Linked DNA regions of Styela clava. The protein of the gene in region 1 interacts with the protein of each later gene in a pairwise test. Links are inferred from orthologs where the notes say so. Each region holds a gene or a part of one and is shown on either strand. Other genes may lie near its edges. The genes, in order: pre-mRNA-splicing factor SLU7-like and peptidyl-prolyl cis-trans isomerase-like 3.

Region 1 (7,239 bases):
AATTTTTGCACCAACTCGGAATACAAAAACATGATTGTTATTTTGAATTTATAATTAAATAGTAAAAATGTATGCCAAGTATGTATACGAATGTGGATATGCCCACTAGGTTAAGTTGTTGAGGAGAGACAAGATTATGCTCACTACCGGTTCATCTTTATGAATTATACAGAGATGTCTTAAAGCTTTACAATAAACTTCTCGCAAGATATACCAATCCGTGCAAATATTTTTCTTTTCGTCGTTTCTTTTCTGGTTCGCGTTTGTTTAAAAGCTTTTTTTTTTAATTGATTTACAGCCTTTTTCTTTTCCATATATATGGTTTTCTTTGAAATCACTTACATTGCTTATTGAAAGTGATTCTGAAGATGGTGCGGTATCTGAAACTTTGGTCAAAAATACATGCATAAGTCACAAAACATCATCACAGTGTTTTAGTCCAATTCAGAATTACGCTACTCTTGATTGATCGAACAAACGAAATGCATTATTACTCAAATAAACCAGAGTTTCTAAAAGGTGCACTACAATTATTCGTAGATAGCTGCGCTATTTGTGATGGGATACAAATGATATTATGATTTGGTTTATTACCATTCATTGGTATCAATTTACGATACTGTATTTAATAAAAAAAACAAGCATAGCAAACTCATTTAGTCACCTCCTGGCACAGCTTTCTCCGAATCACTACCCGCATTTCCGTCTGCCAAGTTCTGAAACGTGGGCCATCTCGTTGGAGAGTCACCTAAATGTGAACAAAAAATACAGCCCAGTAAATAACTAGATGAGGATGGTAAAATAACTCAGGGATATGTGCCAAATCACAAAACAAAATTCAAAATTGCTAGCAATGCAATTCTTCAAAACTGTTTTCCGAAGATGAAATATTTTAATCTAATATGGAGCGGTGTATTAGATATTTTTATTTACACCAAACTATACAAACGTCAACCACTCGCTTCTCGTATATCCTTCTTTTTCGACAAAAAATTGAATTCATTGAATTTTCACAATCTTCGTTTGTATTTTCATCTGGATTTGGAATCCTTCTGAATTACACACTCTTACAAACGCAAACCCAGTCGTAGAATTATTTTGATGGTCAGATCAGAACTACGACCAGTAAAAGCATAACAGTATCAGTAGTCTATATTTTGATAATCTGGATTACGTGAAAAATCTCAACACCAAAAATATAGTAACCCTAATATTAAAAATCGTTATGACTAATCACCTCATCCGATGAGTGATGATTTCCAGCAGCATTCCTCGGTGACGTTGAAATCCTTGCTTATTATGACTCGACTTCAACTCACTGGGTAACTGATAACACCTGACACAAAAGACTTGGATCGCTTCTCCAAACACAACTGTTCTATTTTATCTAAATTTCGGCAATCACGCACTCATGAAGATCCCAATCCCCTCACGGCGCCCAGGTTACTTGCGAACAAAACGGCAAACGTGGTAAAGTTCTCGGCGAACCCGACAGTTTTACTATTGCGACACAAAGCCTCTTTAGTACGGAGTTGTGAATTGAGGTCCTTTTCAGTTTATTGAGCTTATATTGCAAAAAACAGAACGGACGATCTTCATGTTCTGCCTGGTTATTGTATCAAAATTATCAAACCTACTCTCCAAAAATCGTAAAAACATATACCGAAAAATTAAAAGATTTTTGCATAAATAAAATGTCCACTTTATGTACGAAAATTAAACCCGTTGATTATAAACCAGCAGAACTACTGTCCCATTAAAGTTGGCGAAAATGTGCAATTATTTGAAAAATATTGAAAGAACATATTATTTTTGATACTGTTTTATCAGAGAAAAAAAGATTTCAGCAAAATATCGCAAAACGTTTTAATTATGGCACGTGGAATAATTAAGCGGACAGGAAAATGTCTACACAATTTTTCCGTCTACATAACTGTCGCTTTTTTAGCACGCTATGTCTACTTAACTACCGTATTAGATATATATATATATATATATATATATATATGTTTATTTACCTCAAAAATGTAGCAGAATCTGCATAATAATTTAACAATATTACAAAGACGGGATACATATTCCTAGATGTGCGACGTACACCCATAAGCATTATCATTGAATCCTATTGGAAATTTTAAAAAAAGTTAACCGATTTATTCATTCTAAATTTACAAATCGAACTAATAAATGTTCAAATTGGTTTTCGGAGCCTGCGACAGAGAAAATATTATCTAAATGCTATTTTATAAACAATAGTAATCGCAACCAATACATACGCGCTAAAAATGAAAAGTTCAATTAATTGCTCGCGCGAAATGCTCGCTCGTGATTTATTATTCATTGTGAGTTTCAAATCTATTAAGAAGGCCATTTAAAATAGTTGCCTAAGGCTGGCCGTACACGGCTGTATTTCGGATTACAGTTCGATGAAGTAAGTTGTCATTGTAATTTGTGTTCGATCAATTTTCTAATTTACTGAAATAAATTGCATTTTTTGGTTTATCGTATATCTTAAGATTTTTTTAACAACACGAAATAAAAGGAATGAATCTGAGAATATGATTTTGCTGAAAAATCGAAGGACAAGAAATACGGAGGAGGTCGAGCGATACGGAATAAAAAAGTATACGTCTCCAATCCATGTTAAACAGCAACATTTTGGTGAAATATCGGAATGAGAAAATTGAGACCGATAACAAGACCAACAACAATTTAGCAATACGATTTCATTTTGGCATTCCTTGCCCGATAACGGGATATTACTTACCGCAGTTAAAGAGTCTCCGGCCAATTGGTTGATCATATTTTATGTGTTCCTACCGGAACAGACCTGTAGTTTTAATAAAAAAAAGTTATTTTATACACATCTATGCCACTTTCAGGTTAATCAGCGAAATGAGGAGGGGGGGGGGGCAAAATAACGTTTTTGTGTTGCGTCACCTAGTGCATTTATTGTCAGTATTGACTGAATAAACGTTTTGGTTTATGGTTTTCTTGCTTCTTCGTTTTTAGTGTTTGGTTGAGGTGAAATCTAGTGTACGATACGGTACCGGTTATATGTCAATCAATCAATGTTAGCCAATGCATATCATTGGTTACGGTAACGTAGTCTTATCTGCATTGGGACTTTTAGTCTTATTTTAAGCTTTATATTTTGGATCTGTAGCCCTGTTTCTGAACTTTTTTGCCCTAACTAGGCCTGTACCTGTATACCCAGATACGGTACCGGTACCAGGATGTTTATTCGATTTTATGTTAATTGCCGAACAGTTGAGTCCATATTTTCATGTAAGCTACAAGGAATGAATCAAGGATTAGAAGCAATTTCTGCATTTATCCTCATATCAAAGTACTGAAGTAGCCTAACTACAGCTACAAGATTTACATTCAAAACTTCAAGAAAACTGTAGTCTATTTCCAAACCTGGCTTTTCAAATAATATTGTACACCAAGACCCAATACCGGTATTAATCCTTTTATTCCACTTCCCCCTGCAGAGAAAGATCTGCTTGTTTACAATTGTTTCATAACTTTGTTCGCTTGTAGCAATACAATACTGTAGACTATTCCAATTTCAAAAATAGCCCCTGCAATGGAAGACATACCGATACTGTATAACTGAACTCATTGGGCGGTAGACCAGTAGGTACGTTACCGTATGGCACAGTTCCCATATTCAAAAAAAGCCCCAATATTAAAAGGCATCAATTAAAACAGTAATGGATCTTCACAAGTCGGTCTGGGCTTCCATATTAGCAAATTGGCCCTGCTCAATAAACGAAAAGGAAGCACAATGTAAAACGTTACTATTGGATTAATCAGAAAATAATTCAATTCACTAAGAGAAAAAAGTTTACTGTAACATCCGAGAGTTATATTATCGGGTCAAGCATAGTGCGAACTGCTGTCTTGCCAGAGGTCCTGGTTCTAGAGACAAAAATAGTGTTTGTTCAATTGAACCAAATGTATTGATGTCATGGAATTGGAGAACTGTGTCCTACTGTAGAATGTAAAGATCGCAGTCGGTCTTGTGAAATATAGTGTGCTGTCTGTTTGTTCTACATCGCTCTTGTGAAATATAGTGTGCTGTCTGTTTGTTCTACATCGCTCTTGTGAAATATAGTGTGCTGTCTGTTTGTTCCACATCGCTCTTGTGAAATATAGTGTGCTGTCTGTTTGTTCTACATCATTATTCTGTTTAAAATCTAACGAATATTTTTTTATTAGAAAATGTAATAATGTCACGTCCAGTTGTATTATCAAAAGAGGTCGCTAAACCTTTGTCAGCGATCGAAAGAGAGAAAAGAAAAAATGAAGAACCAAAGAAACAATCGAGAGAAGAATGGCGGAAAAAGAAAGAACTTGAGGAGGCTCGGAAATTAGGAAACGCTCCAGCAGAAGTCGATGAAGAGGGAAAGGATATCAACCCTCACATTCCGCAATATATTTCTACAGTTCCTTGGTATGTTGACCCCACACAGCGACCGTCATTGAAACATCAAAGGGTACAGCCAGAGACTGTAAAAGAATTCAGTAAAATTAATGATTGGTATCTCCGTGGTGCGTCGACTAAAACTGTAGCGACAAAATATCGCAAAGGTGCATGTGAAAATTGTGGTGCCATGACGCATAAGAAGAAAGATTGTCTAGAACGACCGAGAAAAATTGGGGCTAAATTCACAGGAAATATGATAGCTCCAGATGAACATATACAGCCAGATTTAAATATGGATTTTGACGGAAAACGGGATCGATGGAATGGATATACCGCTGAACAACATGAAGATGTTATTGAAGAATATGCAAAAATTGAAGTTGCAAAACAAGCCCTAAAAGCTCAGAAGTTACAAGAAGAATTATTGAGCGGAAAAATGTCGGAACAATTAGACGATAACGACGATAATCTGAGCGATGATGATAAATATGCTGACGCAGCAGATATGCCTGGACAAAATTTTGACAGTAAAAGGCGAATTACTGTTCGTAATTTACGTATACGAGAGGACACTGCTAAATATTTGAGAAATTTAGATCCAAATTCTGCATATTATGACCCCAAAACTAGGACAATGAGAGAGAATCCTTACGCTAATCAAGGTAAAAATGAAGAAGAGCTAGATTTTGCTGGAGATAATTTTGTACGAGTAACTGGCGATACACAAAAAATGGCTTCAATGCAAATGTTTGCCTGGGAAGCAGCTGAAAAGGGGTCTGGTGTTCATTTACAAGCTGACCCAACACGATTAGAGATGCTGCAAAGAACATATAAAGTGCGGAAAGAGGATTTCAAAAACGACCAAAGAGATTCAATTCTTGATAAGTACGGCGGTGTGGAACATTTAGATGCTCCACCGAAAGAACTATTGCATGCTCAAACAGAAGACTATGTGGAGTATTCAAGACATGGAACTGTTATAAAAGGACTTGAAAAAGCAAAAGCAAAGTCTAAATATATTGAAGATGTTTACTTGAACAACCACACATCTGTTTGGGGTTCTTATTGGAAGGAAGGGCGATGGGGATTCCAGTGTTGCCATTCAACTATCAAACAATCATATTGTACTGGAAATACTCTCAAAGAAGATACAAACGAGATGCCTGAAAAGAAACAAAATCGTATGGAAGCCTTGCAGGAAAAGCATTCTGCTTGGACGAAAGCTCTAGGTTTGGAAAACATCAAGACAGTAGATGGGGCACCACAATTGGAAGAAATCACGGAGATACAAAATGATGAAATTGAAAAAGAGACTGAAACTAAGTCATTGTTACAACAGCACAGAGAAAAATTAGAAAAAGGGAAAGAAAAGAAAAGCAAAAAGAGAAAGAAAAAAAAATCAAAGAAACGGAAAAAGAAAAAAGTGGAAAGCAGTTCAAGCAGTTCGTCGAGTGAAGAGACTTCATCATCGTCAGATTCTGATGAGCCGTCAGAGAAAAGACAACGAAAGAAAATGATTCACGAAGCGGAGAAGGATAAAGAACGTGCGATTAAAAAAGCGATCAAGATAGAAAAAAGTAGACAAAAGGAAGTTGATGAATTGATGAGACTTGATGAACGTAAACGTCCGTATAATAGCATGGTCGAGGTACAAGAACCAACACAAGAGGAATTGGAAGCTTACCATAGGACTAAGAAAAATATGGAAGACCCAATGGCTAAATTTATTTAAGTTATAAATGTGGGTGCAGCACACAATTGGGCAAATTGGCAATGTAATGGCGTACATCCTCTTTATGTAAATTCCATACTTGTTACAAATTAGAGGGTTCAAACCAAAAGGACAAAACCTCAAATAAACTGTTCGGTGAATTTGGGGAAAATACACATATTTTTATGTTTGAATTATATTTTTAATCAAAATACTTTGGTGAATATTGCTTCAAACTGTAATTAGTAAACCAGATGAAAATACATGTATTTCTTTGTAAAATATCAAATATAAGTTTTTCAAAACTTAGGAGTTGCACTTTTGCCTTGAAACGCTCTAATTTGTGCATCAGTTTTGACATCTACGGTAAATATCACTGAATACTGAATTTCTGAATTTTATCAAAAGTTGAAAGTTTGCTCAAAACAAGGTCATGTGTACTCACTCAAAAGTAAAAAATGATGGTTCATAGGAAATTGAAATGAAACATGAGTATACTTTATTAGGACGTTTTTTAGATAAAACTCCACTGAATTATACTAATTCAATAATTTACTATTTCGAATGTTCGATTTGTTTCAGACATCCTTATATGTGTAGGCCTAACTATGTATAATTGTATCTCTTTAATGTGTTAAATTAGATTCGCCATTCCTGTTATAAAGCATGACCATTTATTCTGATGTGAGTATATATTCTGGCTTTATTCAATGGATTGTATTGTTCTGTAAAAACTCATTCTCTTCTGTCTTGTTGTAAATATTATACAATATGTTTTCAATGGACGAATGTGAAATCTTTAACAATATTAGAGGCAGTAGTCCTAAATCTTCCATGATCCTTGGATCCATTTCAAAGACTCGAAACACTCCATATCAACAACCCTCAGAAAAAACAATGCTGTGTCCCTGTACAGGGGCTGATGGTTCATGTTGAGAAACCCTGATTTAGGCTTGTGTTTGGGAATTTGGAAACATATTTCTAATCATGGCGGAAAAGACCCCCCCCCCCCCCCCCCCCGCAGACCACACCCCCACCCTTACATTAAATTTCCTGTCCCAAGTGGGGATTTCAATTTGTTCGAGATATGTGA
Region 2 (6,779 bases), on another chromosome or scaffold:
CCTCATTATGGCTTCTTTCTCCATCAAGTCCATACATCTGAAACAAAGAACTGACTAACTAATACCATACCTGATATGGACTGGTAGTGGTAACCAAATGAAAGGGTTCGCCATATGATTAAGTCATGTTATCGGAGTTCCTCTCCCTGGGATAAAATGTGTGAAATATTCAAATACTGTTATCATTAACTTTATTGTAATTTTACATACAGCATGAAACCAGTCAGTTCATATACAAAAAATAGTGTTACCGTGGTTCTGTTTTCCATGAATATTTAATTTGAAAGTCCTGAACTGGTTTTTGTTGGAGAGGCATTTTTTCAAGTTTCAAAATAACACGTCTTTTTCTTGTTATTTGACTCTGTCTCATTTCGGAAGATGCACTGATCCCTGATCGCCCTTGAAAGCCAGCATTTGCCATACATGATGTTGATATAAATTTTTTTGAAATATTTGTATAGCAAGTGGTTTCAGATGCTTCACGAAGGAAACGTCCCCATAAACTCATTGTTATAAACAACTAAATTGCATACTATAGAATACAAAAACATACCGTATTAGCAGTTTTGTGTGAAAATAATTCCATGAAACAGCCAGACCTCTCTAGTTCAATCTGTATATTACAGTTAGCAGAACATGCACAAAAGGAAAATATATTATAAATTTCTTTAAAAAATTATCCCAGATTGTACGATGTACATAACAAAATCCCATGCAAGAAATGATGTCAAGAAAATGGATTTAAGGGGATGGCCCAGACCAGAACGATTTACTATTCTGAATACACTCTAAGTTGGGTGATGTTAAACAAGAATACAAAGTCATGGGTACATGAGAGTTAAGATGAACATTGGTATGTTTGGTTTCGTATTTATTACATTTGGGAATAAATGAAATACTGTGAGACTTCAATTGAAGAAAATTTCCAAATTGAATAACATTTGTAATTACTAATTATCAAGAATTCAAAATATTGAATATATTTATCTTGAATCAATTTGATCCATTTTGGGCATCCCTGAATATTCAGTTTTATTGGCACTTTGGATCATGTAAAAACGGTTTACATTTCTAATTGTTTGTTCAAACATATCCCTTACATATGCAAAGATACCACAATCATAATAACATGCTAAATTGAAAATACTTCAAACTCAAATCTATCCACTGCAACATTGGCACTTCTATCTATCTATTGGAAAATATGCCCAAGGGTTTCCCAGATTTTTGGTAGCGAGGAATCAATTTAGTACTAAGTAAGCAGAAACCAAAACTAATCCTGATTCAGAATTTTTATTGCTGTATTAACATGCATCAGCAATAGGATTAGCATGAATTGTTACTCTTTGTATCCTAACATCAGTCATGGGTCTGTATGTTTTCTCTTCCACAGGAAGCTTTTCAAGGTCGTCCAGAATCTCAAGTCCGTCAATAATACGACCTATGATTGTGTATTTTGTGTCTAAATGTGGTTGTTTTCCATATGTAATAAAAAATTGTGATCCATTCGTATTTGGTCCACTATTTGCCATTGAAATTACACCACGACTATTATGTCTTAATGATTCGCAAATTTCATCTTCATATTTTCTATTCCATATACTTGTCCCACCTTTCCCTGTACCTGTGGGATCGCCAGTCTGTATCATGAATCCTTTTATATTACGATGAAACAAAGACGAATCATAATAGTTACTAGCACATAAGGCTAGGAAATTTTCACATGACTTCGGTGCTTGTTCGCAATGAAGTTCAACTTTTATATCCCCAAGATCTGTGTGCAACGTCACTGACATTATTTTTATAAGTTTTTGTAATCAATTTCAACTGCAAAAAGCATAAAGAACTAGTTAAAAGTCGAATGTCATGAATTGAATGCAGTAATTGGCTTTATATCCCCCATTGAGATAAATATATAATCTTATTCATAACTGCAGAACTGAGTCAACTGGAAATGTATGCATCAAAATTAATCTTTCAGTATATAAATTAAAAATGCATATCTATATCTTGTTGATACTTCGATATTCAAATCAATGAAACCATACTATTTACCGGTAACGAACCATCAATTGTATATAATTGATTATTGCGCAACATTTTTTTCTGAAACAGCGCTGAATCTTCCCTTGGCATTTAGAAGCCATCTGATATAACTTTGGCCCAGAATTGAAATGTGTTTTTGAATTGAATATAGTTGAAAAATATAAAATACTAATAACTACTATAGCCTAATTCATGCCAGAACTGCAAGTATATCGAATACAAGATTTATTCCTTTCGAGTTTTCACATTATCTCATTAAAACATTTTTCTGAAGAATCAGTTCAAATGATATTTGAAAATAATGTATTTCAAAATTTCAGCAGTCAAAATAACTACTGTATGCATTTTAGTATCAGGACTATTCAAAACAAATCAATGTAAAGATGTTTTTGAGGAAAATTGGGATAATTCGATCAAACGATTGAAATAAATATGTAAATCCTATCATATCCATTAAATGAGCTAACTCAACCACGACAATATTCACGCTATAAACTACCCCCAATCGTGAAAGGTGAAGAAAACCAACCGGCCAGCTGGAGATTACGTTATGCTATATGACAGTGCAGTAGTGCTGTTCTCGACCTTCTACCGTATGGCCCGTGGCCTCCTTTTTTTTCACTTCAGTGGTAGGCCTATCGCTATTCAGAGTGTTATTTTATTGGGTAGATTCCAAATCCCATGGACCTTTAACCCCCGGAAATTCCTCCTATACGGTACCTTTACCGGTACGGTACCATTGCAAAATTTTCAGTACTATTTTAGGAGTGCTTTTGCGAGTTGGCACCTGTAAAATGGGGTATGTGTTTCAAACCATGATTATGATCCATCGCACACAACAATCTGTTTATTAAAAGTTTCCTACCGGTAAAGAATTTCAGGCTAGTCTATCACAGCTACAGGTATTTCTACACTAATTTTTATTAGGCTACTGCAATTAAATTAAAACTCCTAGGAAGACAGAGTGATCATTGAATTATCTGATTTTTATTTAATTTTCCGAAACACAACTGAAAACTAACGAATAGAGTTCAAAAACGCGAAAACGAGGTGATGTTTACAACCACGTTTGAAAATATGTCTGAGTGCGAAAAGTGTCTGAGCGGATGCGAAAAGGGGGCTTTGTTACGTCACTTTTTGCATCTTGCTGATTGGCCAATGTCACGAAGTAAACGAAGAAGTCGATGCTCGGGGAAAGGTCCATTATGTTCAAACAATTCATGACCAACAATTTAATTATGGATCATACAGTAATATTCCAGTCTTAAAATAATCTTCCTATACTGTTAAACTTATTGTGTAACAAGGGAACTGTATATTTAATCATGCATACCCAACGACTAACATACCGTGCATACCTAATTGCGGATCATATATTAATATTTCAGTTCTTTTTCAATATGTATCAATACCAACGACTAACATACCGATCAATACTTATGAATGTTGTAAATCAATTCAATAACCAATCAATCGCCTAACCCTAACCTGTTACCCATGTTACGTTCCGATGTCCGCCATCTTGGTTCGCATACTTCGGGAGCACCTCTTTTTATATTGTTAAAAATCATTGTGTAAAAAGTGATAAATACCTTTATTAATTGCTTATTTAATTGTGGATCATGTATTAACATTTCATTTCTCAAGTATGTATCAATAGGTACTTATGAATGTCGGTAGCCAATATAGCCTACAGTATTCAGTGATTGTCACTGTCTCTTTTTTCCTTGGTTCTATTTCATAAATTAACTTTATAACCTTTTATATTGTTAAAATTCATTGTGTAATAAGTGATGAAATGTAGGCTATATTCAATTGTGTAATCCATTTTCTAGTCTATTTCAAGTAATGACCTCCTTATATTGTAAAACCCACTATGTAACAAGTAAACTGTATATTTAATTGCGAATCATATACAGCAGTGGTTCCCAAACTTTTTGTACTATCGCCCCCCTACAGTAGTTTTTACAACTTCTTCGCCCCCCCCAGCACTACAAAAAATGTGAAGTCAGAAACGATTACATTACTGACCAAATAAGAAGACAAATAATATTTATAGTGTTTTTTAAAGAGCTTGGTGTTCTTCAGCAAGTTTTATTTATTATTAGGTGACATTTTCGTCAGTCACAATCTTAAATCACCCCGTTTACTGATAGAAAGGCGATTTCGTTGTCTTGATAGCAATAGTAAGTGTCAATTTATAAGAAAGCCGACGCTTTAGATTTGTGAAAAAATTGGCCACCTATTTCAAATCTAAACGTCGGCTACAACGTCATAACAAAACTCTTGACCCAACGCCTCATAAGCCCCAGAAATTCTTTATTTCATAGTTTCTATTGATATTCTCAAGGCGTTTGACATGGTTCATCATAGTTATCTCGGATATTACTCGAAATGATCAGTGCTTCCACTGAAGTTGCTATCGTGCTTGAACTGCATTATCAAAATAGTAAATTTGGACCTCCTGAAGTATGCGCGCCAAGATGGCGCACAACCTGAACTCAGGTTAGGATTCAGCTTTAAATAGTCGGCTGTTTAGCTAATTTGTGAACAGCAAAGACAAAACACAAGGATTGCTCACCGATAAACTTCTGGCTTAACATGGTGTCTTCGAACTCGTCGCTGACTTCTCACGCTATTCCCCAACTGCAAATTTGCCCTTCTACGTGAGAGTGCTAGCGTAGATTCTTATCTCTAATGATTGCGTCTATGCATGCTGCTTAGTTTGATAGAATTTGTTATTACACCTCACATAGATAAAATGCGCTGTGAGTACGTCATAAAAGATGGGAAAATTTTGACTGTCTTCGACGCGCGTAACTTTTGTAGGTGGTACGCGAGCATTGCATATACATAAAACCTCGCAATGGTACGTGGGTGAAAGAAGGTCTGGAAACACCGCATCTACATCATCAATGTGGAGCCGCTTAGCCGTCTTATAACGACAAAAAACAGGATTAAATGCATAAGAATAGGTAATTACACACATAAACTAGCTCAGTATCCGTACGACACAAACTTTATTGTGTCGGACATATACTCGATCGATGCTATTTTTCAGGAATAAATAAAGCTAAAAACACCGTTCTTTGTACAAACGATAGGGCGAAAGAAATGATTTCTTATTTGCCCTATTATGTATTTGTAAAAGATCATATAAAAATCCCGGGTAATCATTTTGGAAGGAACCGAGTCAATTTAACTTGGGGTGAAAAATCTCCAAGATAGAAAACAATATTAACTTTGATAGGACCCGATCTCTATCTTGGCACGGCAAGATCTTGGTAATCAATTCCCTGATCTTGTCTCAATTCATCTATAGTGCGAGGTCGGTAGAAATACCACCTCACACAATTAAATATATAGATAGGGAAATATTTTCTTTTCTCTGGACCTCTGAGCCCATGGAAGTTTTAGGCAGGCGAATCCCCCGGAACGATGAATCTATAGGTGGAATGGGTGTTCCTTGTACAAACACCATAATAGTTGCTTGCCAGGATGAACGATTCAATCAACTGGTCTCGCTTGTTAATCCCACACAATTGTGGCATAAAGAGCCTCAATACAGACTTGGCAGCAAAATAATGCTGGTCAACCCAGGTTTATTTAGCATTCCTAATTCCATCCACATTCCAGAATCTTAAACAGGCCATGGTATTCCGCTAACTCTCTTTATTTTTTCAGGAAAAGGAAATACCATACCTTATACCACAGTATAAAAAGATTAGTATCGGTGGTTCGTGGCCTACTTAAAAAAAAACGAAATCAAGCTGTAAGCTTATAAACTCCGTTATAACAAGGAAACACCAAAAGATGAGAAACTACATTTGTATCCGGAAACTCCGAAGAAAAAATTTGAATTGTATCCTACGACATGAATAGGATGAAGACGTCGAAAAATCATCGTGTGAATGTTTCACTATCTGGTGCTTCCGTGTAATACACACAATGTACCAACACGGAAAGCTATACGAAGGAGATGTTATGAAGATTCGTAGTTATCGTAATTGATTAGTTCAATGCTTATTCAATCGACCCGAATATTTTAAAAACTCAAATTTGTAAAATCACTTGACACCAAAGATAAGCTCACGCAGTGCTCTTGGGGTCGTAAAATTAAATTATTAAACGAGCAATTTTACAAAACATTTATTTTAGCAGAAATTACTTCAAAGTGAGAAAGATTTGCTGGTCTGTCAGCTGGAAGTTTTTGAGATCGTGGCGTAATCGTAGATCCTTTGGATTTTACTGCGCTTTTATTTAAGCACTATTATTCCGCATATCCGATGCTTGATTGTCTTGAGCCTTCTATTTGTAATATTGATAATATTAAAATGGTTCTGAAATTCTTAACTATTTTCAGACACCGTGTGGATGCGACTGCAGAGATTATCGTCTTTGTGATGGAACAGATTTCTAAAAATCCAAAAATATGGAATTTCTGCATAATTTTGTTTCATTTGAAGTTGAACATTCATATCCATAAATGATTTGAATTATCTGTGAATTAAATAAAATGCAGTAATAATGTGTCTCGTAGTGCTTATTAGTTATCCCTTATGATGGAGCATGGAATCAGTGGAGGATAGTTCAAACCTGACACTTAACTGCCTGTATGCGCAAGCTTTTATCGTTTAACTTTTTAATAGAAAATCTTACGAGGAAGGCAGAACCGTATATGACGATAATACAAAAGTGTTACCCAATTGAAATTTATTATACTACTGCAAAGT

The links.
Region 2: the proteins of pre-mRNA-splicing factor SLU7-like (region 1) and peptidyl-prolyl cis-trans isomerase-like 3 interact in binary tests that used the Homo sapiens proteins (3 or more experiments, as listed by UniProt). The link is inferred for Styela clava from reciprocal best matches to the Homo sapiens genes SLU7 and PPIL3.

What each region holds. Positions count from the first base shown.
Region 1 is NC_135250.1:26,647,738-26,654,976, forward strand, and holds the start of pre-mRNA-splicing factor SLU7-like, read left to right. Parts: upstream 1-4,202; 5' UTR 4,203-4,238; coding exon 4,239-6,167; 3' UTR 6,168-7,239. UniProt on the Homo sapiens protein: Required for pre-mRNA splicing as component of the spliceosome. Participates in the second catalytic step of pre-mRNA splicing, when the free hydroxyl group of exon I attacks the 3'-splice site to generate spliced mRNA and the excised lariat intron.
Region 2 is NC_135253.1:5,215,865-5,222,643, reverse strand, and holds peptidyl-prolyl cis-trans isomerase-like 3, read right to left. Parts: upstream 1,924-6,779; 5' UTR 1,797-1,923; coding exon 1,305-1,796; 3' UTR 533-1,304; downstream 1-532. Other genes in the region: large ribosomal subunit protein mL40-like, read right to left, coding at 252-508. UniProt on the Homo sapiens protein: PPIases accelerate the folding of proteins. It catalyzes the cis-trans isomerization of proline imidic peptide bonds in oligopeptides. May be involved in pre-mRNA splicing.